4 linked regions of the Diceros bicornis minor genome follow. The protein of the gene in region 2 purifies or fractionates together with the protein of the main gene of each other region. This does not show direct contact. Links are inferred from orthologs where the notes say so. Each region holds a gene or a part of one and is shown on either strand. Other genes may lie near its edges. The genes, in order: EXOC6, EXOC8, EXOC6B and RALB.

Region 1 (7,322 bases), about 34 Mb from region 2:
TGAGATTTGATAGTCTGTCTCTTTCAAGAAATCTGTCCATTTCTTCTAAGTTGTCAAATGTACTGGCATGAAGTTGTTCATAATATTCCTTTATTATCTTTTTTAATATCTGTAGAATCTGTAGTGATGTTACCTCTCTCATTCCTGACACTGGTATCAGGAAATGGAAATTCCTGATAATTGGTATCAGCTCTCTTTCTTCCCCTAGAGGTTTATCAATTTTATTGATCTCAAAGAACCAGGCTTGGTTTTATTGGTTTTCTCAGTTGTTTTTCTATTTGCTGTTTCACTGATTTCCACTCTGATCTTTATCATCTCCTTTTTTTAGCTCTTTTTGATTTCATTTGCTCTTCTTTTTCTAGTTTCTTAAGTTAGAAGCTGAGGCCATTATTTGAAATTGTCGTTTTACAGTAGATGTGTTTAGTGCTATAAATTTCTAAGTATTGCTTTAGCTGTATCCCACAAATTCTGATATATTATGTTTTCATTTTATTCATTTCAAAACACTTTCTAACTTCTCTTTTGATTTCTTCTTTCACCCATGTGTTATTTAGATGTGTATTATTCAGTGTCCAAATATTTGGGAATTTTCCAGATAGTTTTCTATTATTGATTTCTAATTTAATCCCATTGTGGTCAAAGAACCATATTACATGTCAGGCCCTGTAAGAAGTGTATAACATGCTTGTCATTTAATCATCTGGCTTCTTCCAGGAAGCCAGATCTGATAAAAGTGAATCAGGAAATAGTCAGGCTGAAAAAGAAAAATAATAACAACAACAACACAAGCCTACAAGCCAGCTAAAAGATAACTGAGACATAACAAGAACAATTAATCTCAACACTGAAATATTTATGGATGAATTGATGTCAGGGATTTGCTTCAAAATAACCCAGGGTGATGAAGAGTTGATGGGGAAAAAGATCAAATGAGATTGGCCAGGGGTTGAATTGAAGCTGGATGACAGGTTGCTGGTGGTTCATTACACTATTTTACTTTTTAAAACATTTAAATTTTCCCATAATAAAAAGTTTTTAAAATTTTAATATTAGCACTTCACTCAGTGAAACCTAGGGAAAAAAATAGTAGCTTAAACACCGTTCAAGAGAAAGGACTGCTAGCAGTGCCTTCTATGTGCGTGTGGAAAAGTCTGCTTGTAAATGAGAGGTGACAAGTGTATATATAGCATAAGTATGAGTCACTGGAGTTTGCTAAAGAAAAGAGCGTGGGTTTCAACAAAACCAGTATGTGACACAATTGCCCGCAAAAGAGAACAGAATTATAACAACACCGTGCATACATATATTCTATTTGTGTCACAAAAATCTCTCAACATATTTCAAATTTTTCTTCTAAATTAATTTCATCTTTTCTTCAAGGATATTTCCTAGCACATTTTTCCAAGAAACATCTTGGAAACATCTCCGTCATAACCAATACTGTTTCAAAAATAGACTGTTCTGATAACTATACCACATACTGTACTGTTTCAGTTTCACCAGGCAACAAGGAAAACAAAGCCTCCTTTCAATCTATGATTTCTACTTGCATTACCAAATGTACAGTGTTTCATATAAAGAAATAATTATGTTGAAAAATTAAGGAAATGCATTAACTATGCTTATCATGTCATAGCAGGAACTTTATGTGACAAAAATTTATCAGGTGCCTAGTACATGCTTGGTGTTTGGGATACATCAGTGAACAAACAGGCAAGGTCTCAAATGTCCTGGGCGTTCTGGGCATCTAATCCTCACCCTCCCCAGTCTACGAATAAGGAAATCGAAGTCCAGAGAGGATAAATGATTTTTGCTCATGACTGCACACTTCATCAGTGGTAGGACTACGGCAAAACAAGAACCCAGGTCTCCAGACTCTCAGGGCAAGATGGATTTACATTATAACTTGAACTGGCTTCACTTTAAGCTACATCCCCAGGTCCACAAAACACACAGCACTCCATTTCTAGGAAGTGTATCCTGAAGAAAATAATAATGATCAAGTACAATCAGTCCTAACTTCCCTAAGTGAATCATAATTTCATTATCCTCACTACGAAAAATGAAGCCTTATATTTAAAAGGCACTTATTCTTCAAGAGAGTCCCTAACCTAATCTAATAGATCAGTACAGCGCCCGGCTAATATTCTATTAGGGCAGCAGATACTCAGTCTGGAATATTCATTACCTGGTACTATTTTTCAAGGGCAGAGATCCTTTTTAAAATAAACGGGAAAACTAATGCAAAATTAATGAAACGTTCGTAAATAAGTAAAAGCTTCCCTGACTCCAGAGAGGCTTGCCCGGTGAGCACACGGTCTCAGCAGGGCGTTCCTGAGCATCAGCTCCTCCCCGCCAACCACCCTCCCTTCTCGCCCCCTCTGGCCGCGGGGCGGGGTGTAATGGTGCCCGCGTCTCCCACTCCATTTCATTCTCCCACGCCCGCCGCAACCCAGCGCGTCAGGCGTTCCACCTGCGCGCGCCTCGGCACCTCCGTCGCGCCGGCTACCAGCAGTTAACCTTGGCTCCCACCACGCCCGCGGCCAAGACCCCCTCAGCCCAGCCGCGATCCGGGCGCCCGGCAGGCCCGAGGACCGTCCCCAGGCCAGGGACCGGCGGCGCCGCAGCTCCGGGGGTCAGAGGCGCCGCGGCAGCCACACCCACCGGCTGCGCAGTGACAGCCCCCGCGGCTGAGGCGGGCCGCGCCGACAGGTGCAGTGGTCGGTTCCGCCCCGCCCCTGGTACCGGCCCGCCGCCCTGGAGCGCCCCCGCCCGCCTCCGCGCGCACCACCTGTCGAGCGGCTTCGCGCGCGGCCGGCGGCAGACGCCACGCCTGGCTCCTGACGAGCGGCCGGCGGGGACAGCCCGAGGTCCTGGGGGGGATGAGATCTTTACCGGAGGGTAGGCCCCACGCAGGCGGTGTCGGTGCTCTCGATCTCCTGCAAGATCCGCTCGTGCTCCGGGACGGTGCCCAGAGCCTCACCGCTCTCCGCCATCTTGGCTGGACGCTGAGGAGCCAGCGAAGCGCGGCGCCGCGCGGACGGCGGGGGCGAGCGGCATGCGGCGCGAGCGCGAGCGCGAGGGGGCGGGAGAAGGGGCGGGGCGGGAGAAGGGGCGGGGCGGGGCGGGGGCGCGTGGACCGCGGGAGAGGCAGCACAGGGGCGCGCGATCTAGCCTCAGGTTGTGATCTTTGCGCCTGCCGGAGGCCATGGTGTTGTCCGCGGCGGCGAGGAGTGGAGAGGCGTCGCCTCGCGCTCTCCCCCGCCACTTGCTCCTCGTTGCTGACTAGTGACTAGCCTGGCTTTCACATTTTCTTGTATTCTGTGTGGCAGAACCTCTGCTGTGCTCTGGGGATAGCTTAGTAATGAGAGAGGTCGACAATCAAATAACCCTCAATCTGTAACAAAAGCGACGGGAACGTTTAACAAGGAGGCCTGATGTACCGTGGGTGGTGGAGAGTCAAAAAAAGGAAAACGCACTCTCAGGAAACGCAAAATTGTGTGTGGGAGTAAGATTTATTTTAGGCATGAACCAAGAAGATCCCAGCTGACCACCATGACGACCGCTCTGGGTGGATTCATGTCCCTGCCCACAGAGTTCAGAGGCTGATCAACTTGGAAATAAATTAGCCAGAAAAATTAAATGACAAAAAACTATGACACTCTATGGCAAAGGCACAAGAGACAACAGGGCAATGTGTGATTTCATGCCAAAGTCCTTGAGCCCTAGTGCCCCCAAGTTGCTGTAGCTGAGATGAGGAGGGATGGAAGCTCTTGAGAGGAGTAGGCATCAGAGAAATGGGAAAGAGAGGTGGGGTGGCTTGGGCAAAGGTGCTAGTGTAGAAGAGTCCTATTTAATGCCATGTTTGTGGGACACTGAATAAACCAGTTTGTCATGATCAAAGCAGTGACTGAGGAATATTAATCCGGAAGAGAGTGCAAACCTAGCCCTGAGGGACAACTATTTTCTGGTCTCCATTAATCCAGGGCTAAACTTCCCTTTGAGTCAACCAAGCTCTTTACTATCCAGCTGTGTAACTCATCCCCTTTACTAGAAGCCTCCCTCCATTCTGCTCCCCACAAAAATCCTGGGAGGTGATATTGCATGATAGTTAAGAGCATGATTGTTGACGACAGGTGTCCTCAATTTAATTCCCATCTCCTTCACTTCACTGCTGAGTGACATTGGGCAAGAACCTAATCCCTTTGGATTTCAGTTGCCCCATCTGTAAATGACCATAATAGTAGTGTCTACATCATATTGCTGTCCCATCGTGTATTAGTTTTCTATTGCTGCTGTAACAAATTACTACAAACTTAGTAGCTTAAAACAACTCAAATTTATCATCTTACAGTTCTGTAGATTAGAAGTTCGACATGAGTCTCACTGGGCTAAAATCAAAGTGTCTGCACGACTGTGTTCCTTTCCAGAGACTCTAGGGGAGAATTCATTTGCTTACCTTTCTCGGCTTCAAGAGGCCACCCACATTCCTTGGCTTATGGCCCCCTTTCTCCAGCTTTAAAGGCAGCAACATTGCATCTCTCTGACCATTCTTCTGTAGTCACATTTCTCTCTGACTCTGCCGTAGGCCAGGAAAGATTCTCTGCTTTTAAGGACCCATGTGATTAGGTTGGACCCAACCATATAATTCTGGATAATCTTCCACCTCAAGGTCTTAACCTTAATCACATCTGCAACATCCCTTTTGACATGTAAGGTAACATATTTACAGGTTCCGGGGATTATGACATGGACATCTTTGGGGAGCCATTATTCTGCCTGCCACACTTAGTAAGGGCCCAACAAATATTACTAACATATATAAATGTTCTCCTTCCTATTACTATGACATTTCTGTCCTCCTTGGAAAATTCAACTCAGATTTGTCTCCATAAAGATTACCCTAACTAATCACAACCTTCTCTGCTAACTCTAGATTCAATTTAGCATATTTATCCACTCCACCAACAACTGTTTTAATAGTTTGCACTTGTTTTGATTGGTTCCTTTTCATACCTTTGTGAGTTTTCTTTGTTTTTGTACACTGAGCCCCAAGGGAACCGAAATGTTGCTGACCTCAGTGCATGCTGGCTTGGAAGACCAAGGAATTATAGATCCAACTGCTCATTCTACCAAGAAACCCCCCCAGCCTGTTTCCACAGCCTTGATGGTACAGGAGAATCCAGATCTCTTGTAAGAAATCCCACTTCCTCATGTTTCAAGAATATACAGAAACAAAAAAATCTTCCCAAGTCCACCAGGTCTGTCACATCATCTTAAGGTCCTTGAGTTCGGAGATGAGTTTTTTTTAATTTTGCAATTTCCTATGGTTCCTCATAGAGTTCTGCATGTAGTTGAGAGAAAGCTGGAGGGGTTTTGAAACCAGACAATGCTGAAGCTCTGAGCCATTGGAAAGAGTTCAGGATGAATTAGAAAGGAGCATTCCGAACAGGTCTAAGCATAAAGTAGGAGTTTGGTTAATCTGTCATTGGTAACACTTAGGAATTAGAACAATATCAAATTGTAAAAAGTTAGTTTCTTCAAACAAACAAACTTCTTCAAGCTCTTTATATATTGACATTAAATATAATATCCTATAATGTGGGTGTATTCAGTTGAAACAATATTTATGGACTTTGGTCAGAGGATATAACGAAGGTTATATCCATTCCTCTGGTTACTTAAAATTTTATCCTTGGATCAAGCCAAATCCCTGTACCTAGACCCCAGTGTTTTGGCCCTACATGCAGTTGATTTTCACTAAGTAGTAAAAAACTGAATTTTTTCTTAGCTGACTGGCTCTCCAATTACTGAGGTACCACCCCCTGGTGTTAGCACATCTGAATTCCAGATTCAGCTCTTGAGAGGAAAAAATAAACCTTTTGAAAATTGAATCTGAAACCCAAACATAAGAAATTAGGACAAATTTTATATCTTCCTACAAAGAGAATAGAAAGCCAGTTCTCTCTGCAGGAAATAGCAGACTATCTTAGCTCAGTCGATGTGCATGGCCAGAATGCATTGTTCTGAAAAGTTCTAAGTGCAGTGAGGAGAGCAGGGCCTGTGAGGAGAGCAGGGCGTGTGGCACAGGCCAGCTTCTTATTTGGCAACTGTCTCCTGATGGGGCATTCATTTCCTGAGCATTCACCATCCAGAGCTCTGCCCCTTCTCTTCACCAAACCTGACACCATCTATCCAAATGCAGCTCCAAATGCCCCAGCTCTGGGAAGCCAGCCCTGCTTAGGCAGGCGCTCCTCACTCCAGGCCTGTTTCAACACCTGCCCATAGAGATTACCTCAACGTAAGCAGCAGTATCTTCCCCTCAATTCAAGTCAAGATGGAAGGAAGTCCATTACCACTTCTCCTTCCGAAACAGCTTTTGCTGGTTCCCTCTAGTGACTTCTGACAGTTCCATTAGTACCTGAAGGCTTTTGCTAAGAATTTAAAGCCAAGTGTCCTAAATAACTGTGTAAATTTAATTATGGACATAACAAATACATAAACATGCAAAAAAAAAAAAGGTCTATTCTAAAGTGGTACATTTCTAAAAGGCTCTAAAATAAGGAATTTCAGCTATAGGCCAAAATAAGAACCATAATAGCTATTTACTGAGCACTATTTGCTAAGCCCTTTATATTATCTAATTTAATCTTTACTAATTTAATTAGCAATTTAACTGGTAATTAAATTAGTACTAATTTTACTAGAATATAATTTAATCCTGTGGGGTAATTTTACTATCTCCAACTTAATTTGAAGAAACTGAGACTTGGAAGGATTAAGTCACTTTTCCAAGGTGGCGCAGCTAGTGAGTTGGAGAAAAATGGAGTTATTAACCAGTTCCTGTCCTTCCCGTTAATAAAAAAGTCAGCCAAGAAGAGTATTCCAATGTTGTTTTACCCAAGGGATAATAATGTGGTCAGTCTGGTCTGAGGAGCTTGAGGGGTAGTAGGGCACACATAGGCAGATTGCACTCGAATGTTGAGTTACTTTTCAGGCAGTGGATACTGACTTCCAGAAATCTACCCAAAATCTCTCTTCAGCACTCCAAGGAGGGAAAAGGAGGACTGGCAGGGCAGGAGATGCATTCTGTGTCCAGTATGAAACTAACCAGCAAAGTAAGGATTTAACCTGTAAATAAACTCTTAGTCACTAATGACTTATACTTTGAGTCACTTGTTTACAAGTTATCTTGGGAAAGCCCCTCCCTCAGAAGGACGCTGTAGAATGCAGCTGTACTGGTCTGGTGCTTAAGTGTCTGGGTTCAAATTCCAACTCATCTCTTACTAGATGTTGGCCTTCAGGAGAGTTATTTAACTTGT
Region 2 (7,563 bases):
GGATGGGATAAAACAAGATTTCTCTGTGTATAGTTTTCTAGTTTTGAGATTTTTAATTATATAAAATTTTAAAACAGACAATAAAACCTACTGCTCATTCCACACCAAGGATGCAGAAGTTTAGGTGCAAAATTAACAAAAGCATTTAAGGCTGCTGTTTCATAATCTGTTCTAAAAAATACGTTTTTTTAAAAAAAGCGAAAATCATAAAGGTCTTCAAAAGCATACCTTTTTAATAATCCTCCAAATTTTTTTAAAAAAGAGTTTCCATCAGAAGAACTAGACCTGGCATTAATGAATTTTAGTCTTATAAAATTATGCTGAACAGAAAAATGGGAGAATCAGACATTTTAACTTGGTCATTATGAAAACATCCCTTTTAAAATTATCAACTCTATCTCTGAAAATGAACTTTATTTTTTCAAGTAAATGCCACTCTACTGAGGCTCAAATTCAAAGGCCATTCTATACTTCAAACACTTCTCAACATTCTAAAATAATTATAAATAACTATTTTTCTAAAAGAGAAACAAATTTAGGTTTCTGATTTTTGGTTCAATTTAAACACATCTTGAAAATGATACATGGCACCATACTGATCATTTCTATTTTTATATACTGTATCTACTATTTTCCACATTTAGGCTAGATTCAAGGCTCTACATAACACAGTCCCAAAACACCTTTATTTCCCACCACTGTTCTGTATCTGGCCAAAAGCAACTACTTCTGATTCTCAATATGCCACAAGTTTAATGGCCTCATTTTTTTTCATAACATTCCCATTCCTTCTGCCAAGAGTAGTCTCCCCTACTATCTCTACTCGTCAGAATCCAATCTGTCCTATAAGGCTCACCTCCATGTTTTAATTAGCAGTGGTGATAGTTACAAGGCAGTAGTGATGAGGCCAAGTGGTACAGGGGACAGGACAAGAGCTTTAGAGCCAGGGAAACTAGAGTCTAAGCCAAGGATCTGTTATTTATTGTGCCTGAGACCTTGCACAAGTTACAACTTGTTCCTCATCCCTAAAATGGGGATATCCTAATCTTGCAGGGTTGTGGTAAAGCATACTCTAGATTAACTATATTAACACTAGTTAATCTAGTCCAAAGTCTGGCACACAACAGGTGCTCAATAGTGAGTGAGTGGTAGGAGTGGTGATAGTAGTAGTAATAAACTCTGCATGTATGAAGCTTTTCTTGACCTCCTCAACCAGATAGAGTTCTTTCCTTCTCTGAACCTATTCATTATAATTTAGGTAGCTACTTTAAATACAGACCAGGGTCCCACTGTTCCTCCTGTGTCCTTCTTACCCGATTTGATACTGTAACTTTCCACCCACAGCAAATGCTCAGCTGATACCATTACCACACATTTCCCATTCTCTTCTCACCCATTATCTTTTAAACAAAATTTGTTCATATGTTTATTTAATCATTTATGCAATAAATATTCATTAAGCCACTATTATTCCAATTAGGGCTCCTTGTCAGGTTGATTTGGTTAATCATGTTGTTCGATTTTTTTTGTTTTACGTCTACTATTTTTTTTCTGCTTATTCATTGAGTTACCAAGAGACTTATAACATCCGCAACTCTGACTGTGGATTATTTCTCTTTTTGCTTCTGCTAATTTATGCTTCGTTTGCTTAAAGCTATGTAATTACTTTTAGGCTTGTTATGTTTTTATTTAATAGAATATTTTATCACTATAAAATATCTCCCCTTTTTTCCAAGTAAAACTTCTTCCTTTAAAATCTTTAGTCTAATACTAATATAGCCACAACAACTTTCTATTTACTTTTTTCCATCCTTTTACACTTAACATATGTGTGTCTATTTTAAGTATGTCTCTTTTAATCTAGTGTGTCATTTCATGTCTTTAACTGGAGTGTTTAGTCCATTTACATTTAATATAATTATTGATATTGTGCTTATGCCTACCTTTCTCTTTATCCAGGCTTTGTTCCTTTATTCCTCTTTCCTTTTTTATTAATCAAGTATTTCTGTTGTACTATTTTACATTTATTAGCTATTTACTTTCTTAAAAATTGTGGTAAAAAACACATTACATAAAATTTACATCTTAACTATTTTTAAGTGTACAGTTCAATAATGTTAAGTACATTCATACTGCTGTGAAACTCATTACCTTTTATTATCCTTAAAAACAGCATCCCTCATATTTCCAAGCATGTTTTAACATATTTCCCATCCAATGTCTACCACCCTATGCTCTTTTGTGCATACAAAGTGATATAACTGGGGCAAGACAAGTCACACTGGGTGCATCCTGGAGAATTTCAGGCATCTGTTAGACTCAACTAACCATAATCTAAGAGTTCCCACTGTTCCATTTTGCTAGCAGGAGTGACCACTAGCTCCAGATAGGAAGTGTGCCCTCACGCTGGTTTGTTCTGCCAGCTGGGCTAGATGTCCTGGGAGGGCAGGACCATGGTGGTTGAATAAAGGAGAGTCAAAATTTGTGTCTTAATAGGAAGATCTGAATCCTAAGTTTTTCTCTGCTTCTAAATATGTAACTTAAACCAGTTACTTAATCTCTCTGAATCTTAATTTCCTTTTATAAAAATGAGGATAACACACAATGAACATAAACAGGGTTGTTGTAAAGATCAATTTAGATAATATACATGAAAGCCTTTAACTTTGAAGCACTATAAAAATAGAAGGTAATCATTATTATCTGCCCCACAAAGTTTGCAATGAGGGAAAACTAGTTTCCTTTTTTGACACGTACAGGTTAATTCACAGGAGTCTAAATCAATAATAAGCATTTCTAAGTTACTGAATTAAGAATCAAGTTTATGCAAAGAATACCTCTACAAGATCCTTCCTCGGTCTCAACTTTAAAAGGGGTTCACTGAGACGGATGGAACACATTCCACCCCTCCCTTCATAGCTGCATATCCCAGCACACCTGGAAAACAACCACCACAAAAGCATGATTTACCAAATACATACAAAAGGGAAATAGAGAGGAAAGAGCAAACCCATATACATTCTTGGGCAGTTCACACTGAGAACTCTACGGCAGATGGCTTTCTTAAAAGTATACCCTCTTCCCTGGGAGATATTTGCATTTCACCCCAGTTATGGACATATGTGAACAGTAGTGGCTTCCCTTACCCTAACCAGGCTGCAACAGCTCAAAGAAGATAATCCTATTCTGCTGCTCCCAGTCTCCTCCCTACAAACTATAATCAGTTTGTGGCAGTAACAGCCAGATCTCCATTAGCACATCTCAAAATTATAATACAAGCCTATGTGAAGAAAACGTGCACTTTAAACACAATTTTATATGATATCTTAATCTGTTTTATTTTAGGTTGTTTTGTATCACTTCAAAAACAAGCACGGTAATATACAACCGCATCTTAAACTTGTTAACTCCGTTCCTGTACAGGACTCGATTATTTCAAATCGAGATTTCTCAAATTTAGCGTGTAGGAAAGGAATCCTTTTAGAGGCATCCCCGAAGACCCCTTAGGTCCAGAAATACGGAAACGTCAAGCCCTTGCCCACTCTAACACACGAGCTCACTACTAAGCGGTGCGATCCTAATGAGCATAGAAGAGGACAACACGCCTCTGGAGGTTTCACTGCGTCCTCAGCATTCCAGACTCTGGTTGCTTCTCCTTCCTGGCTCCTAAAACACTACAGTAAATCAAATCAGAAATGTGTTAATTTATTTTCAAGTGAGGTGAGATTCAAAGAAACATCCTCTTCTCTCATTGTGTCCCCTATAAGTCAAACCGTAGCGAGGTGGGCCACACAGCTTTCTTAAAGTTGTCTGGGTGGGAAAGAGAGATAGGGTAGGAAAGGGAGAAATACACGGAGAGGAGGTGCCTGGTCCAAAACCAGACGCCCTCGTTTAACGGCCCCTGGGCCGTCGAGGCGGAGAAGAAGAGAAGCCCAGGGCCAGGGGCTGAGGAAGGGCAGCCAGCCGCCTCTTTTCCCCAACGGGCTCGGGACTCACAGGGTCATTCGCATGCTCCACTTCACCTCGACGGCCTCCAGTTGGCCCCAGAAGAACCGGTCGTTGAACTGCACAAACAGGGCCTGCAAATCCGGGGTGGGGTCCACCAACTCCCAGGACGCGTCCACCAGTGACAAGGGCTCCTGGGCTTGATCGCACTCCGAGACCTCCAAGTTCCACTCCTCCTGAAGCCGTAGTGCCAAAACCAGGTCCTCATCCATCGCTGCCAGGATCCCAGCGAGGTCCGCCGGCTCAGAAACCCAAGGGCCGGGTGGAGCTCCTGGGAGATACCGGCTCTCGGGTCAGCCCGCCGATGTCGCGAGAACTCAGGAAAACTGGCGCGAGAACGAGAACTCAGCTTGCCCCCAAGGCCGACACCAGGATTCTGGGGCTTAAAAAAAAGAAGTCAGCGTGACACCTCCTAGTGGGCTCGAAACTGGGATTCCCAGGGCTTGGGCGAGAGGAAGGTTTCACTAAGCTGGTTATCGCCTTTACGCTTCGCCGGTAACTTCAAACACCAACGCCACGCTCGGCCCATGCGCACTACCTACGTCTCTTTGCCTTTCCCTCTACTCACTTCCGCAATACTCCCCCGGCGCACGCGCTCTAGGCCAATGGCGTTCCTGCGCAGACGCATTGTCTGCGCCCGGCCCCTCGCGCAGGCGCAGTGTCTAACGCTCAGACTCGAGCGCAGGCGTACTTGTCTGTCTCCCATCTGTTCCTCAGCCCTGGAGCTCGGCGGGGTTTGGGTGGGTCTCGACAGCGGCGGCACCGTCAGCAGCGATAGTGACAGTGACTGCGTGGGGCCCGGACGGAAATGGCGATGGCGATGTCGGACAGTGGGGCGAGCCGCCTGCGGCGACAGCTGGAGTCGGGGGGCTTTGAGGCGCGGCTGTACGTGAAGCAGCTCTCGCAGCAGTCGGACGGGGACCGGGACCTGCAGGAGCACCGGCAGCGCATCCAGGCGCTGGCGGAGGAGACGGCGCAGAACCTGAAGCGCAACGTCTACCAGAACTACCGGCAGTTCATCGAGACGGCCCGCGAGATCTCCTACCTGGAGAGCGAGATGTATCAGCTCAGCCACCTGCTGACGGAGCAGAAGAGCAGCCTGGAGAGCATCCCGCTCACCCTGCTGCCAGCTGCCGCCGCCGCTGGGGCCGCCGCGGCCTCCGGAGGGGAGGAGGCAGGGGGCGGCCCGGCCGGCCGAGACCACTTCCGCGGCCAGGCTAGCTTCTTTCCCACCCCCGGGGGCGCCTCCCGCGACAGCTCCGGGTCGGGCGAGGAAGGAAAGCAGCGCACTCTCACCACTCTGCTGGAGAAGGTGGAAGGCTGCAGGCACCTGCTAGAGACGCCGGGACAGTACCTGGTGTACAACGGGGACTTGGTGGAATACGACGCGGACCACATGGCCCAAGTGCAGCGGGTGCACGGCTTTCTCATGAACGACTGTTTGCTGGTGGCCACCTGGCTGCCACAGCGGCGGGGGATGTATCGCTACGACGCTCTCTATCCTCTAGATGGTTTGGCTGTGGTCAATGTCAAGGACAACCCGCCCATGAAGGACATGTTCAAGCTGCTGATGTTTCCCGAGAGCCGTATTTTTCAGGCAGAAAATGCTAAAATTAAACGGGAGTGGCTGGAAGTGCTGGAGGAAACGAAGAGGGCCCTCGGTGAAAAGAGACGAAGGGAGCAGGAGGAGGCAGCGGCCCCTCGAGGGCCACCCCAAGTGACTTCCAAGGCCAGTAACCCATTTGAGGATGAAGACGACGACGAACCAGCTATTCCTGAGGTAGAGGAAGAGAAGGTGGACCTCTCAATGGAATGGATCCAGGAGTTGCCTGAAGACCTGGATGTTTGTATTGCCCAGAGGGACTTTGAAGGGGCCGTTGACCTGCTGGATAAATTGAACCATTACCTGGAAGATAAGCCCAGTCCACCTCCTGTAAAAGAACTAAGGGCCAAAGTGGATGAGCGTGTCCGACAGCTCACTGAGGTGTTGGTTTTTGAACTCTCCCCAGATCGTTCCCTGAGAGGTGGTCCCAAGGCTACTCGCAGGGCAGTTTCTCAACTAATCCGGCTTGGCCAGTGCACGAAGGCTTGTGAGCTCTTCTTGAGAAACAGGGCAGCAGCTGTGCACACTGCCATCCGTCAGCTTCGCATTGAAGGTGCCACTTTACTGTACATTCATAAGCTATGCCATGTCTTCTTTACCAGCCTTCTTGAGACTGCAAGGGAATTTGAGACAGATTTTTCAGGCACTGACAGCGGCTGCTACTCTGCCTTTGTGGTCTGGGCGAGATCAGCCATGGGCATGTTTGTGGATGCTTTTAGCAAGCAGGTGTTTGACAGTAAGGAGAGCCTCTCTACAGCAGCCGAGTGTGTAAAAGTGGCAAAGGAGCATTGTCAGCAACTGGGTGACATCGGACTAGACCTTACCTTCATCATCCACGCCCTTCTGGTGAAAGACATCCAAGGTGCCTTGCACAGTTACAAAGAGATCATAATTGAAGCCACTAAACATCGCAACTCGGAGGAGATGTGGAGGAGGATGAACTTGATGACTCCAGAGGCCCTGGGTAAACTCAAAGAGGAGATGAAGAGTTGTGGGGTGAGTAACTTCGAGCAGTACACAGGGGATGACTGCTGGGTGAACCTCAGTTACACAGTGGTGGCCTTTACCAAGCAGACCATGGGCTTCTTGGAAGAAGCACTGAAGCTGTATTTCCCAGAGCTGCACATGGTACTTTTGGAGAGCCTGGTGGAAATCATTTTGGTTGCTGTTCAGCATGTGGATTATAGTCTTCGGTGTGAGCAGGATCCAGAGAAGAAGGCCTTTATCAGACAGAATGCATCCTTCCTATATGAAACAGTCCTCCCTGTGGTGGAGAAAAGGTTTGAAGAAGGTGTGGGGAAACCCGCCAAGCAACTCCAGGACCTGAGGAATGCATCTAGACTTATTCGTGTGAATCCTGAAAGTACAACGTCAGTGGTCTGATGCTTGGGTCTGTTTATATGTATACGTATATGTTGCTTATATATTATTTATATTTATATTAAGTTGTATTAGCATATTCTTTATAGTCTCAAACACAGCTTAAAAATAAAAGATGCCCTCTCAGTTAGAAATGCAAAATCAAAAGGAGAAAGAAAAAGATGTTAAATTAACCCTAAATAACAATAACATTGGAATTAGTAAAATATATAATATGCTTTTCTTTTAAATCATGCTCATTCTCTAATGAATATATTATCACATTACAGCATTTCAGCTTATCCTTTGAGTCAAAACACACTTTCTCACAGTATATATTATGCAGCAGAGAAAAATAATATCTATAAATACATAGAGTTTAAGTATGTTGTGAAACGTTTCCTAGTTCACTAAAATGTTAGGTTTCTTAAAGGAGACAATGCCGTATAAAACACCCTGCTTTATATACTTCCTTAAAATGCTTAATATACTTCACCTTAAAATGTGATTGAACAATTTGGGGACAAGGAAGGAGGAGTTGAGAAAATTGGTTTTAGGGTAAATTTCAGTCAACAGAATTGCTTCTTGAGAGTAGC
Region 3 (7,016 bases), on a different chromosome or scaffold from region 2:
ATGGGAATCAACTAACATTGCATGTACTGTTCAAGATTTAAATAAGGATAGTTATATAATGAAAAAGTCAAGCCACTTTGGCTCTCCAAACAAAGAGGGATAAGAGTGGAAGAAGAATCTGGTATCACAGCAGGGAAAGAAATCAAGTAATGATACACAAGTAATAGTTGGCCGAGAGTGGTTAGGCAACGTGGCTACATGGATTTTTGCGAAGAGCGGGAATTTTAGGGATGGGTATAATAATCTTATATCTGCTATCAATTTACTGTTATTCTCTGCTCTTTAGTTCTTCTTCAATTACAAAACCTATCTCAGGAACAGCTAAGAATCTGGTGCCTTAAAATGTTACCTCAAAAGATGGAAGAGATAGGAAAGACTATGAAGAGGGGTAGAGGAGTTTGAGATTTACAGTTGAGGGTAGTTAGGAAAGAGAACCTACTGCCTTAATCAAACCTGGTTAATGACTGTGATGGAAAAACAGAGATAATGATGATAGAGTTACATCCAAGGTTAGGCATGGGATCTGAAACATCAAGTCTGTGCATGCTGCTGCCTCTGAATGGGATAAGGAAAAAAGGTGAGGTCATCCCCTATGAAAATGGGCAGGGACGAGCTAGACTAAAGACAAACACAGAGGGTACTACTTGTATACAGGACATTCAAGTAACTGAAACTTGGGTCTGATAGTAAGATTTAGGATTATGTGCCAAAGACAGGATGAGGCCAAAAATGAAAAGCCGCTAATAATGATACACAGGGAGTCAGGAAAATAACTAAAACAGGCAGGATAGTGCAACGGTTCTCAAACCTTTTTTTTTTTTTTTTACCAGTCCCCTTAGGGCAAAAGATCCCTTAATCCATCTACCCCCTAAAAACCCACTTTCTAGTGGAAAAAGAACTCAGTGATAACAATGAAGCAAATTTTAGGGAAAAGGGGTAACATTTTAACCATAACGCATATATTCTTCAGTCAAGATACTAGAAAATTACAAGCCAAAAGTCAGTTGATACAAATATGCATTACTATTCAGTGGAAGCTAACATAATAAATCACAACAGACTAAACTGATAACACAAAATTAAAGTCATCTATCATATAAACCAAGAACGACAGCAACTGAAAACCACAACCAACTCAAGACAACATTGATAGTGTTCTGATCAAGAATCCTTCCTAAAAACTCTGGTAATCCCAATTGTTCCAGTGGGAGATTTGCTTGACTGCCAACTGCAGCTCAGCCGCCAAATTTCTTAGTAGAACACTGAAACAGCATCTTCAGTAACTCTAGTAACATTTTGTTTTATGAAAACCAAATATTAATAACGCACTTAGAATACTAGTAAGTAGCCCTTAGTTTTTATAAAAGTGAAGATAACGAAATGAGGATCATTCACCCTCAAGAGCTCAAGAAAACAGGAAAAGAGAAGAGCATGAGGGTCACGATCACAATGCATAAAGAGACAAAAGGCAAACTATCAAAGACAGTCATATCCAGAGATGGCACTGGGAGAACTGTGCTAACAATGTGCCCTGGAGAAGGAAGCTACACAGGTAAAGACGAGGAGTAAAGTCTCCAGCCCGCCCCTCCTTCAAACATTCTTTCATGAGGCAACTCTCCCCATGAAAAAACAAGCAGTAATAACTCTTTTTTGAAGGGAGGAGCAGGGTAAGATAACTACCTATCTATTGGCTGCACGGAGATCAGAAGATAGCACAGGAAGGATGAAGATGAGTTAGTTCTAGGGCATTAGTAAACTGAGGGGAAAGGGAAAGGTAGTTCGAAATTGGGCTTGGTGAGTAATTAACAGGAAGTACAGGTATATGATCATCCCCAACTGAGACAGAACAACAGGGGTTAAAAATGCAGACTGGATCCAGACTGCCTGGATCCTCGACTCCCCCACTTTATTTCCTCTGTGACCTTGGGCAAGTCACTTAACCTCTCCATGCCTCATCTGTAAAATGAGGGTAATGATAGCACCTACCTAACACGATTGTTTTGCAGTTTGAATAAGTTATATCTGTAAATCATTTAATACAATGTCTTGCACTGTACGTAATAAGTGGTACCTAAGTTTTGTTAAATAAGTTGAGGTAGGTGGGAGTTTTTGACATCTTCAAATAAAATGGAGGTGTGCGGGCAAAAGAATGGTAACTGGGGGACAGGAGAAGGGATAACTTTTTCTCAGCGATGAGACTACAAAGAGGCTGCACCTTTGGGAGGGATCGTCCTCCTGACGGTTCAGCAAGCACCCGCTCCCAGGAGAGGGGCGCGGGTTGAGAGAAACTTCCTTCCTTCCAGGGCCTAGGATTTTCAGGAACTCGTTTGTGAGAAGTGGTTGTGATTTTAAGGTGGCGAGAGCTTAATTTCCGAGCAACAGACCGTGGGGTGAAATTCTGTTTTGTCTGAAGAGCAGGACTCATGTCTAGGGCAGGACGGGGTTTGAGTCCGAGGGAGAAGGGTGATGTCCTCAGGGGCAAGATCTGCTAAGAGCCACCATCTGTCGGGCGCGCTCTAGTTGCCCGCGCGGGGCTAGCCTCGGAGGTAGCACGAAGGCTGCCCCAGCCGCGAGGGAGGCAGGAGAAGCCTCCAGAGTAACTGGGCTGTGAGCGCGGCGGTCGGGAAGGGACCCCACGTCGGGGCTGCGGAGAGAGATCCGCCTAGCCCAGGGTGGAGGTCGCTCGTCGGTCTCTCCGAAGGGAGGGGCCGGCCCTGGCCTGCGGGCGACCGGCCCAACGCACAGCCCCAAGGGAGCCTGCCCCCCTGGCCCGCCCGTGCCTGCCCGTCGGTGGCCCCGGTACCCGGGGTACCTGAGCGTGGGCCCGATGCAGGCCGTGTCGGTGCTCTCGATCTCTCGCAGGATCCGCTCGTGCTCCGCCGCTGTCTCCAGGCTCTCCGCCTCCGCCATCTTACCCCGCTCCATAGACTGGGGGCGCCCGGTAGCGCGTCCCCTCCTTCAGCTCGGCTCACCTTTCGCTCCCTCTCTCACCCCAGGCTCCAGAGCCTCCCAGCCTCCAGCTACCCGCAGGACGACCCCTCCCTCAAGCTCGGCACGCCCCCTTGCGTCACCGCGTCCGCCGTCGTCCCGCGCAATGCCGGCTGGGATTTGTGGTTCTCCGGACAATGACAGGGTGGCCTCTGCTCATTTATTAATTGAATCCGCAAATACGTGTTGACAGCCCCAGTATAAACCAGGAACATTTAGCGACACTGCATATGCAGCGGTGATCAAGTCAGGCAATGACACTAATCCTACAAATTCTTGTTTAAGACCCTGGCCACAAAGTGCATAAGGCCCTGTAGGCGTAAATAATACAGAAGAACTAATTAGGTTTCTGCAGACAGCGATCTTAAAGCTATGAGGAGGAGAAAGCTGGAGAATCCCAAAACTAAGACATAAGGCAGAATGTGGCTGTAAGCCAGTTCAGAGAATCGAGTTCAGGAATCACTTCTGGCTGTGAAGGATTCATAGAGAGACTGGGCCTGGAAGTTTAAAAGGTGTGACTGGAAGGTGTGAGGAACACCTAGAAAGCCAGCAAGAACTTCATTTGCACTGGTATGTAGACAAGTAGTAGTAAGATATGGGGCTGGAAAGGTACCTTGGAGAGAAATCCTGGGCTAAGAAATTTGTACTTTGTTCTGATGGCTCCACTGGTCCAACATCCAACCGCATCCCAAGCGCCTGGAAACTTTTTTTAAAATATACACTAAACGTCCTACATCTGAACATTCTGATCCAGGCATCTGCATTTCATAAACTCCCCAGATTAGAATTAGAAAATCATATATTGATCACTGCTTGAGTTTTCACATAACACAATGAATGGGAATCCACCGATGGTTTTTAGGAAGAAGAGTGACACAACCAGAACCTTGGCATTAGGAAACTTGATCAAGAGCAAGTGTGCAACGTGGGCAGAGAGAGAGAATTTGGAGATAGGGAAATGCTAGGAGAGATTTTTAAGGCCTAAATCGAGGAAGTGACAATGAGAATGAAAAAGAATGGACACATAGGAAAAACATTGTAAAGTAGAATTGGCAGGATTTACTGGATATGGGGAAGGAGGAGAGGTTCAGAGCAGAGTGACTGGGAGAATGGTGTTGCCATCAACCAAAAAAGGCATGTAAGAAGAACCAAACTGGAAGTTGAGGCTAAATAATTTCTGCTACAGCCATACCATGGATTATTATGGTATGATATGAGAATAAATATTCATATATACTCTTACATATACGTAAAATACTCCATAGAATATTTCTCAAAGGACACCCAAGAAACTGTTAACAGTAGTGGCAGTTAGGAGAGAGCTTGGCAGGAAGGGGCCTGGAGTAGGAGGAAGGTAAATTTTAATTATGTATTGTGTGCACTTTGGGAATTCTTTCCCTTGTACATGTATTACGTTTTCCATAAAAAATAGTAGTTATTAACTAAAAATACATTTTAAAAATAAACAAACCAATAGTGAGGAGAATGGGTTGCAGGTCCTGGTTTGCCAGGAACCGAGCAAGTTGCTAAACCTGTCTGTTTCTAGATAATCTCTGGCTGTCCTCATTTTATTTCATTACTCAGGCTTAAACAATTCCAGACAGATGTAGGAGGGGTAGGGAGAGTATGGAGCCTTTCATATTTCTAAAAATCTCTTAAAATACATGATGGAGCGTCCCTTCAGGCACCCGTTTTAGCATCTCACTCAGCAAAAAGTTTTTTGTCCATCACAGGAAACAGACTGGTATGTAGACCAGATATGTATAGTAGTAGTTAAACTAGCTTTTGCTACTATCAGCAGTTTTTTTGAGCCCCAGCAGAGGCCAAAGATCTCACATGTTATCAATAAGTGTGTGTGAGTCTGGAGTGACTAATATAGGAAAGCTCCAGTGAAGAGGGCCTGCCTAACTTTAATGCCCTCTAAATACAGAGAATGTCAGGTCAGTGTGGAATGACCAGAAAAGCACTAGACTAAGAGTCAAGGGGCCTTTGATTCAGGTCCAGCATTAGCAGTTAAAGTGTATTGAGCACTGTCTGTGCCAGACACAATACACAAAGTAAGCACTTCACATGCATCATTAAATCCTTACAACAATCCTTTGCTGTAGATATTATGTATCCCATTTTACAGATGAAAAAGCCAAGAGATTAGGTAATATCTCAGACCTCACAGCTAGTAAATGATGAAGCTGGTATTCAAACCCAGATCCATCTGATTCCAAGGTCCATTTCCTGACCATTAAGCCATATTGTCCCACCCACACCCTCCATTGCCACGAGTTTTTTATGAGAGCTTAAGCAAATCATTCTGCCTCTTTGCATCTGCTTCCACATTAGTATAATGGATTGTATGATTTCTCAGACCCCTTCCAAATCATCTTGAAGACCTCTTCACAGAACCACCTCTTTCCACTTACTTACTTTAAATGACTAGGTTTTCTCTTCCCCTGCATCAGTAGATTAACAGTGTCAACATTCTCACTACTCCCCACTGCCACTTCTAGACTGTTGTTCCAACACCCTGATTCCTCAGCTCCTCTTTGAAGTTTAGGGCATCACATTGTGTTATGGTCATCTGCTAATGTCCGTATTCATCAGAAATTTTACCACTGGCTCACAGTTTTCCTATCCCCCTCAATCTCTGCCATCATCCTGAAGCACTTCAGTATCAACACAGATAGCTCACCCACACCCGGTCCTCATGGATCCCAACTATCCCAGTGATGTTCCTCATGCCACTTAGTCAATACCTTTATGGCCTCACCTTCTTCTTAACATTCCATAAACACTGCTCTACCCCCAAGGCTACAAACTGAAATTCCTCTCTCTACCTCTTTCCCATCCACCTCTTCCTCTGCCTAATTTCTGGGGAACCCACACTTTAGTCTAATTACAGTCTTCATCTCTGATTTCTATGTAATCTATTGGCATATTTTCCCTTCTAGTCTGGATTTTCTTCTATCCAAACTTCAATTCAGAGAGATCTGAGTTTGACCCCTGGTTTCTCCACTAATCAGCAAGGGAATCTGGGTATGTTACGTGGCTTCCTTAAGCTGCAGATTTCTCATATATAAAGTGGAGTTTATAATATATCCCTTACGTAGTTGTAAGAATTAGAAATAATTAATGTAAGGGGTCTAGCGCAGGGCTTGGCAGAATCAATGTTAGCAGCTACCCACAGCACATACTCCTATGAGCCATCAATCTGACTAAACCTTCTCTAATTCTTTAGCTTCCTTTAACCATATCCACATTGCCAATTTCTCTCCCTTCTATTGTAGTGGGGATAAGAGACTGTAACCATGGCAACTTTTCCACCACAGCACTTTTTTGTTGCTCAATATCATTTGGGCCCTCATGGCTGCTCCCCATCCTGTGACTTCTATTCCTCCTCACAGCACCCATTTATAATCTTTTCCTCTCTACCTAAGATCCTAGCTCTGCTCCCATCCTTCTCACTCTTAGAAGATGACTTCATCCATTATTAAACATTCATTTTCCCTCGCCTTCACAATCTTTTCCTCCAACTCCTCCTCCTTTCCTGTGTAAGAGGATTGGGGATGCCATAACTTTCCCAAGTCAACGTCTCCTCTAGAGAAGTTCCTGCAATTATCTCTCTTCCCTCTTACAGCTTCAGTCTTCCCCGCTGCTTTACCTTTATCAGTAAACACATGCTTGAGTCTTTCCAACTAAAAGTCTCTCCCCTCAGACTGAATAACCACAGGCAGAAGAATGAAATTGGACCCTTATCTTACACCACTCACAAAAATTAAGTCAAAATGGATTAGAGACTGAAACATAAGAACTGAAACCATGAAACTCCTAGAAGAAAACATAAGGAAAAAGCTCTTTGACATTGGTCTTGGCAATTTTCTGGAGATAACACCAAAAGCACAAGCAACAAAAGCAAACACTAATAACTGGGACTACATCAAACTAAAAAGCTTCCTGTGCAGCAAAAGAAACAATCAACAAAATGAAAAGGCAACCAATGTTTTCGGAGAAGATATTTGCAAATTACATATCTG
Region 4 (7,771 bases), on a different chromosome or scaffold from region 2:
ATAATGACACTTCAGTCAACAACAAACCACATACAATGGTGGTCCGACAAGATTAGTACCATACAGCCTAGGCGTGTACAGTCTACACCATCTAGGTTTGCGTAAGTACACTCTATGATGTTCGCACGACAAAATCACCTAATGAAGCATTTCTCAGAACATATCCCCATCATTAAGTGACACATGATTGTGTTAGCAATTATCAATAGCACCTTTTTCTTCATTTAGATTTCAATTAAAAAAAAAGCAAAAACTCCCAAAAGAGTCTACAACCATAAGAGACAACACTCAGGAAAATTATAAGCAGTTACTTTTTTCAGAGCAACAAAAACTTGAAATTGAGAGCTGGCTGGCATTTTGTAGTTGCTGTAATAACCACGTATACCTTTCCTCTTTGACACTGAGCTTCCATATTCTCTTCAGCTCTCTTTCTGCTCTCACTCATCCAAAAATTCATATAGCTTCTTGCCTACTGGCCTACTTTTTGGAACATCTACGGATATGTACACATATACATGCCTATTTGTCTTCCTAGGTACCAAAAGAACAGAAGAGCTAAAGGAAACAGCTCATGGTCAAATCTCCAAGGCCAGATATTTATCTGGTATTGGTTAGATCAGCGAGTCTGTGCCAAGCAGACAGCCGATGCTCAATAAATGTCAATTTCTCTCTACCTCCTTACCCACTCCACTCTCCTCCACACGATTAGGGAAGAGTTCCATTTTCTCTGGTACTCCACTCTCTTTGATTCAGACACCCCAGCAATATGTATTCACTGAAAAAAAAAAAAAAATCCAAGTATCTTGCATATCTAACAGCAAGGGCTATTTGTTTAGAAGTCATCGGAGCCAAAGAAAAATGGGACTCTTGCATATCATCCTGAGAAAAATTACACTGGAAACCTCAGAAGAGTTCACCAAGATCTCTTTCAACACTGTAGTTTTGGTTTGTTATATTGTCTCCAAATTTAGCTTTCAAGAAAAGGTCTCCAATGATGTTTCTAACTTACATCAATTCCATGAGTGGATAAGAATTTAGTAACTGAATGCAAAGAGGTATTGTGGGAGTGGGTGATGTGGCACAAAGGATGATGTCAACTCTCTGGTTTAAAAATTTCCAGAGTCTCAAGCCATCTTCAGCCAAGGAAAGAACCTTGAAGAATTAACACAAGAATTGAGAACCTTTCCACTTCTTCCACCAAGACCCGTTTAGATCTCATTTAAGGCTCTAATTCTTGTTTTCCTATCTTTATGTGTCTAGGTCCCATATTCCCAAAAGGTATCTAGTAACTTATACCCCTACTTTTTTCCACACAAAATCCTGGGAAAGGTTCTACTCCTCGGGCACAGGGAAATCTTGCTGAGATCTCAGATAAGAGCATCTACTGTTTCCAATGGGAAATACCATGAATAGAAAAGGAAGGAAAGACCCAGATGTGGTCAGAAGAAAGCAAACTAGCTGACACGACTAAAACCACACACGAGGGATGTGTATCCCCAGCCTTATTCCCACCCCTACCTTCATCCCACCCCCACCACCACAAAGAACACCTTATACATTCCTTATTTCGCTTAATCCTAACAAGCAGGATACCCACTATCACCTTTTTACAGCTGTGGACTCTGCCGCACAGAGAGTTGAAAGGCCGTGCTCAAGATCACACCACTAATAATTTCAGAACCAGCATCAAACCCAGGTCTTCACAGTCTGCCCTCCTCCTCTTCCCAATAGTCAACACTACCTTTCACTGCCACCCCATTTTTCTGAGAACTTCAATATTCTAATTGTATTGCTTCAGGTTTAAGGAACATTGACTTTAACTGTTTCGAGCTTTGACATCCAAGAATCTTGTTGCTCTGCCTAGAACATGGGTCATTTACACATCTAAAAGATACACTAGCCCCTCTGATAATCAGTGCCCGCTATCCATCCCTAAAACTTAACAAAAAGAAGGAAGATTAGGAAACTAGGACAAAGCAGAAGGTTCACTGTTCTTCGAGGGTTGCAATAGAGTCACAGATAACTCTAATGAAGAAACAGCCAAGTCTCCACCATTGGCAGTCCTCAATCAGTCCACCAGACACAACTTCTCCCCAGAAGAGTCACCTGATAACAACATCCAAGTTCCAACGTTTCCAGTATTCACCCGAAAATTAGCACAGAAAGCACACTGCTCAAACAAACAGCCTGGGCGCAGCTCCGTCCGCCACTAGCAGTTCTGAACCAACCACGGATAACCTTATAGTACACCTACAAGAGGGCAAGAAGAGAGGTGCTGCAGCCTCGTCCAGACAAACAGTTCAAGTCCATGGTGCTCTCTATCAGACGCCACCTTCGGTGCCAGCCCCTATCAGTAAGGAACCGGGGGGCCGGGGAGTCAAAAAAACAACTTTACGCTCAGTTGCAAGGGAGCACAAAAACAAACAATTAGACCAAACAACTTTTGGAACACGGCCCCACTTCAGTCCAAGTGCAAGTTCTTAAGGTACTAATAAGTTTTGCAACACTTATGGCCCTGACCCTGCCCACAGCCGCAACTCAGGCACTAAGGAAGTGGACCATCCTCGGGCTGGAGGCCCAAAAGGGCAGGAAGTGGAAGCAGAGGCCATTTGTGGGAAAAGGAAAGGAGCGGCAAAAAGGGAGAGGCTGGGGCGCCGCCCCCACTTCCTCAGCCCCAAGCCAGTCTGGGAGGCCTGGAGGCTTTCTCCAGAGGACCGCCCGGAGCCGAGCGGGGCCACTGCCCCGGCGTCGCCTTCCCCCAGGCTCCGGGCGCGACGTGTCCGGCCGCCGGCCACAGCACAGGGCGGCGCACCTACTTCCCCAGCCCGCGCCCCACCCCGCCCGGAGGGGGCCCTGCCAGAGCGCGGACACGCTCACCTGGGACTTGTCCCGCGTCGCCTTGGCCGTCCGCACCAGGCCCGCGGCTCTTAAACCCGCCCCGCCCTCTCCTTCTCCTCCTCGCGGGGCCGGACCCCAGCCGTCCCCTGCCGATTTGTCATTGAGCAGCCCCGGCTCCCTTCCCACCCCACGAGCGCGCCCCCGGCGTCGCCTAGGCAACCCTGCCTCCCGGGAGCGCGCCCTCTCTTCCGTTCCCGCCCTCTCCCTGGAGGCCACGCCCATCGAGAGCCTATTGGCCAATCCGAAGCGGAGCTTCCAAGCCTCGGGAGGCCGTGGAGAAGGCTTCGCCAAGGAGAAGCCGTCTCACGCGGGAGGGGCGGGCTCGGCGCGCCTGCCCCACCCACCTCCACTTCCTTCTTCTTTTCCGCGGCCGGACAGGCTGCACGTGACCGCTGCTGCAGTGAAGGAGTTGGAGCGGGTCTGGGGACTCCCGGCTTGGGCGGGCGGAGGGCGTTCCCCTCCTGGATTTGGGTCAGGGCGAGGCCAAAGTAGTGGAAAGCAAAAGAGAGGAGCAGACCTGATCTAGAGAAACATAGGAAAATTACGATATAGTGCGCGGGTGTCGAAGGGTCCAGGCGGCTGTCGGGACGCCGGCCAGGGGCTCCTGAGGCGGGAGCTCCTCGTGCCGCCACGACTCGCTTGGCTAATGACATCCCATTAGCAGTAATGCAGTTACTTGACCAATGCCTAGCAATAACTTGACCCAGGTCACATACAAGGGCCAGAGTCCTAACCCCAGCGGTAGCCTTGAGGCAGGAAATGCAGTAGACAAGCTCATGGCCGACAGACAGGTTTTTCTCCCACAACCTGCCCCCGTCGTTGTCCTGCAAAGTCCGGGAACTTGTAATTTTCTATCCAAATAGAGCTTAACCTTGGGTTGATTTTCCTAACTAACCGCACCTTCCTAGAGCTGAATCTTCCCCCAACCCCTCACTCTGCCTCCGCAGGATTTGTGGCCCCGTTGACCCCTACACGCAACACTGTATCGCAATTAATTGTTTAAATGTCAGCCTCTATAATCTCTAGGGAAGGAAACTCTCTTGTTCAATTTGATATCCACAGTAGCAGCACCGTGTAATTAATTCCTTCGTTGTTGATAATTAAACATTAGGATACATGTGTATTATATGCGAGGCTTTGTGCCTTGATTAGATTGCTATGTATAATCAACTAACAGGTCCAGGCCCTCCACCACCAAGTGTATCAAAAAGCACAGAAGATTTACTTTAGTCTTAAGTAATAGGCTTAACAAAAAACTGTAACCAGAAGAATATCCTAGTAAATAGAAGAATGTCTTTTTCCTATGGAGTAATAATTAAGTGCACAGGTTTGCAATCAGCATAAGTTCAAAGGAGGGCTCTGCCATATAAGCAGCAGTTAATTAGGAAGTTACTTAGCCTCTGTGGGCCTCAGTTTCCCCAGCTGCCCAATAGGAGCAGTACCTTCACACTATAGGTGTGAAGATTTAAATGAGATTACCTATAAAGCTCTCAGTACAGTACTAGGAACTTGGTGAGTGCTCAACAAACGTTAGCTTAAATTGTGATTGCCACCAGAGGCCAAGATGTACACTTAAGCATGTTATAACCAACCTAGGGTCAGCATTCCCTCTCAAGGCCTGTTGTATCTGGGACTGTGGGACACCACCATAGAGCAACCAGTGGTGTGTGCAGCCTGGTGAAAAGGACCTGCTCTGGTGATGCTGTTTTATCAAATGCAAGTTTAGACAGGAGACCTGGCTGCAGCAGCCTGCCCAAGGGAAATCAGTAGTTAAGGGAACAGGATCAGGGTCATGGACAGACCAGGATTTTCCTGTTCCCACACCCCCAGGACCCACAGCAGGCACAGGGGGTTTTCTCACTTTCCTGGGCTGTGTAACTGCCATTCCTTTGTATTAGTAATGTGATGTTATGCAGGATGCACTGGGCTTTTTGAGAAATGCTACACTCATCCTCTGCCTCCCACCCCTCAACTCCAAACCTCAGGCCCTGTACTCAGGGATTCTACTGGGACTCCACCAGTAGGATCATCTATTCAGCTCCTGGACATGCCAGGCCCTAGCTGAGTGTGGTAGATTCAGAGTGGAATAAAGGACCCTGCCAGACAGTGAGGGACTGTCTCACCGAGGACACGAGCCCAGGAACATGTCCCACCAGGGGAAGAGCACTGAGAGGCCACCGGCCACGACTGCCACTGGGATTGCTCATGTCAGGTCTCAGAGGATACTCTCATCTGCTGAGCTTCTCCTGTGGGAATTCTGACTCCCGGCAGAGCCAGGGGCCTAAGCAGCAGGAATACAAGATCCCCAGCAGGACCCTGTAAGGTCCCTCTAACCCACTGTAGCTGTGGAAAGAACATTCTAGACACTCCCATTTTCAAAAGTATTTACTGAGTATTGTGTGAGTCTTTACTGCTGTTGGGCAGATATTTCCACTTCTCTCTCCTGGGCACTGGATAGGATTGAACTTCCTAGCTTGCTGTCATTGTGTGAGGCTGTGTGACTAGCTCTAACCAGTGACTTGTGAGCGGAAGTGACACATAAATCATTTTGGGGCTGGAGAATTTATTTGCTAACACGAGACCCTCCAGAGCTCTGGTCTCTATGGGACAGTCACTGGGAATGTTTGGGAGTGTGGCTGCTCCACCAGCCTGAGACCCTACAATGAGCACAGCCCCTCTGCCAACCTGCGATGACATTTAGCATGACTAAGAAACAAACCTTTGTGGTTTGAAGGCACTAAGATTTGGGAGTTGTTCATCACTGCCGCCTAGCTGAGCCTGCTCTGACTGCTACAAGGCCCTAAAGTGTGCCAAGCTGGGGGCACAGTGTTGAACAACTCTGACAAGAGAATAGACAATAACCCAGGGAACAAACAAGCAACTCAATAATTACAAATTGTGTCATTACTTGAGACTGAGTGGTCAAAAAAGGTCTCTCTTAGGAGGTGACATTTAAACTGGGAACTGAAGGATGAAAAGGAATCAATCTTGGAAAAAATTGGGAGTGAAGAGAAGGAGAGGACAGAGGACAAGCATGCACAAACTCCTAAGGCAGAAAAAAGCTTGGTACACTTGAGAACAGACAGGAGACTGGATGAGTGCGTGAGCCCAGGGGAGAGTGAGGCCGCAGGACAGGGGAGAGGGAGGTAGAAGCCAGATTATGGGTTATGATAAAGAGATTAGAATTTATTCCAAGGGTGACAGGAAGCTACCGAGGAGGTTCGAGCCAGGAGGGTGACATGCTTTGACTGAGGTTTTAAAAAGACCACTCTGGCTGCTGCAAGGGGCAGATGTGGGAATGGAGATTAGGAGGCTGTTCTGGGAGTCCAAGCAAACTGGAGTCCACAGGGCCGAGGCTAGAAAGGGTAGTCTGCCCTCGGTAACAGGAGATCTGGGGAGACTGCAGGAGGAGGGGAGCAAGAGAGTTGATGACTAAACCAGGAGTCCTCCTGCCAAATCCCAGAGGACGCAGAGGCAAGGCTGGAAGTCAGGACCCCTAGAGGTGCTTTGACCCCAGGGATATGGGTGCTCAAAATCCAGGCAGGAATGGAGGAGGGTGTGGAGAAGGCAGCTGACCAGTTTCCTAGAACATCAGTCAGCATCAGAGACGTGCTCCACTGAGCTGCAGGATTATATAAATAGATGGTATTATTAGAAAGAGTCTGACAAGCTCCGACATCCCTGTGGGCATTTGGTATTTGGTGATTAGAAAAGAAAGGAGCCACAAATCTACAGATGGAAAAATGAAAAAAAAAAAAAAAAAAGCCATTCTTGCCCACTGAAGAAAATGGGAAGAATCTACTGTAAACAGCAAAACTAGATGGAGCTCATCTTCAGCTCTTCAGTCATCTTTCTATTCTGTGTTTCTCCACCCCTCAGGGCCCAAATGTTCTCTGTCCACTTCTTGCTCTCTCGTTCTATTCTCGGGAACGGGTCTCATAGGCTCATTCACACGCAGGAATAAATGACTGATGACAGCTCAGTGGGTACCCACTCCTTCCTGGGCATTTGTATCATCCAGTGGATGAAAATCTAATGTCCTAGATCAAGAGAAGTATGGGGGGCAGAGACCACAGATCTTTAATTCACACTACTAGAATGGAGTGATGTATCCCTCCTCAGGAAAAGTTTCCAACTCTCGAGTTCTCACCCAAGGCAACAGGTAAGGTAATACATTACTGGAACCCTCCTCCAAAGCCTGGGCAGTAGCCCCAAGCCGCCTTTTCCTTGCAGCCTTCTGCTGGCAGCTACCAAGAAAAGCCCCTGGTATTTACTTACTCCCAAACGTATCCAAAATCTTGACTTTGGTGCTCAATTTAGTTATTGCCACTGTAAAAGACTTACTGGGGGTTTTGAAAACCACTTTTGCTAAGTGTTTTAATGAGAGCTTCTCTTTCCCTATTACCATCTTTCTTTGTGGGCTCTACAGGCCCAGCCAGCCAGCAGGAACTAAACAGATGTTCCCGGAATCGCTCTGCTGGAAAGGCAGAGGCCCAAGTAATTACATAGAAGATAAACCTTTCATCTTCCAAAAGAATTAATCTACCTGGGAAACATGTTAGAAAAAAATAGTTCATGTCTATTTTCCGTTATTGAATTAGCTGGACTTATCTTTTTGCCATCATAGCTTACAAAGAGTTATCTCCCAGAAATAAAGTCAAGTCTGTCTTGTCATTGAGTAATAAGTCTTCATCATTATCTCCCGTCCCTACTACATGCCGGCTCAGGTTCTCCCCTTCCCTCTTTGTGGAGACACGTGCTCCGTACTTCCAAAAATTTGCACAGTCAACAGCCGCCACAGACCTGATACTGACCTCCAGATAACCAGATACAAGCCCCTGCAGGGTGACAGCTGCAAAGCACTCAACTATGA

Evidence for each region.
Region 1: the proteins of EXOC8 (region 2) and EXOC6 purify together in Homo sapiens (affinity purification with mass spectrometry; 4 studies listed by BioGRID and IntAct, counting the BioPlex papers as one, with this or other methods). This does not show direct contact. The link is inferred for Diceros bicornis minor from reciprocal best matches to the Homo sapiens genes EXOC8 and EXOC6.
Region 3: the proteins of EXOC8 (region 2) and EXOC6B purify together in Homo sapiens (affinity purification with mass spectrometry; 3 studies listed by BioGRID and IntAct, counting the BioPlex papers as one, with this or other methods). This does not show direct contact. The link is inferred for Diceros bicornis minor from reciprocal best matches to the Homo sapiens genes EXOC8 and EXOC6B.
Region 4: the proteins of EXOC8 (region 2) and RALB purify together in Homo sapiens (affinity purification with western blotting; 6 studies listed by BioGRID and IntAct, counting the BioPlex papers as one, with this or other methods). This does not show direct contact. The link is inferred for Diceros bicornis minor from reciprocal best matches to the Homo sapiens genes EXOC8 and RALB.

Annotation. Positions count from the first base shown.
Region 1 is NC_080745.1:58,529,701-58,537,022, reverse strand, and holds the start of EXOC6 (exocyst complex component 6), read right to left. Parts: upstream 3,016-7,322; 5' UTR 2,997-3,015; coding exon 2,896-2,996; intron 1-2,895. UniProt on the Homo sapiens protein: Component of the exocyst complex involved in the docking of exocytic vesicles with fusion sites on the plasma membrane.
Region 2 is NC_080745.1:24,862,547-24,870,109, forward strand, and holds the start of EXOC8 (exocyst complex component 8), read left to right. Parts: upstream 1-4,555; 5' UTR 4,556-4,813; coding exon 4,814-6,991; 3' UTR 6,992-7,563. Other genes in the region: DNA-dependent metalloprotease SPRTN, read right to left, coding at 2,838-2,937, 3,997-4,217. UniProt on the Homo sapiens protein: Component of the exocyst complex involved in the docking of exocytic vesicles with fusion sites on the plasma membrane.
Region 3 is NC_080751.1:16,031,921-16,038,936, reverse strand, and holds the start of EXOC6B (exocyst complex component 6B), read right to left. Parts: upstream 3,002-7,016; 5' UTR 2,926-3,001; coding exon 2,813-2,925; intron 1-2,812. UniProt on the Homo sapiens protein: Component of the exocyst complex involved in the docking of exocytic vesicles with fusion sites on the plasma membrane.
Region 4 is NC_080749.1:12,473,128-12,480,898, forward strand, and holds the start of RALB (ras-related protein Ral-B), read right to left. Parts: upstream 3,017-7,771; 5' UTR 2,878-3,016; intron 776-2,877; exon of another isoform or gene 683-775; intron 1-682. UniProt on the Homo sapiens protein: Multifunctional GTPase involved in a variety of cellular processes including gene expression, cell migration, cell proliferation, oncogenic transformation and membrane trafficking.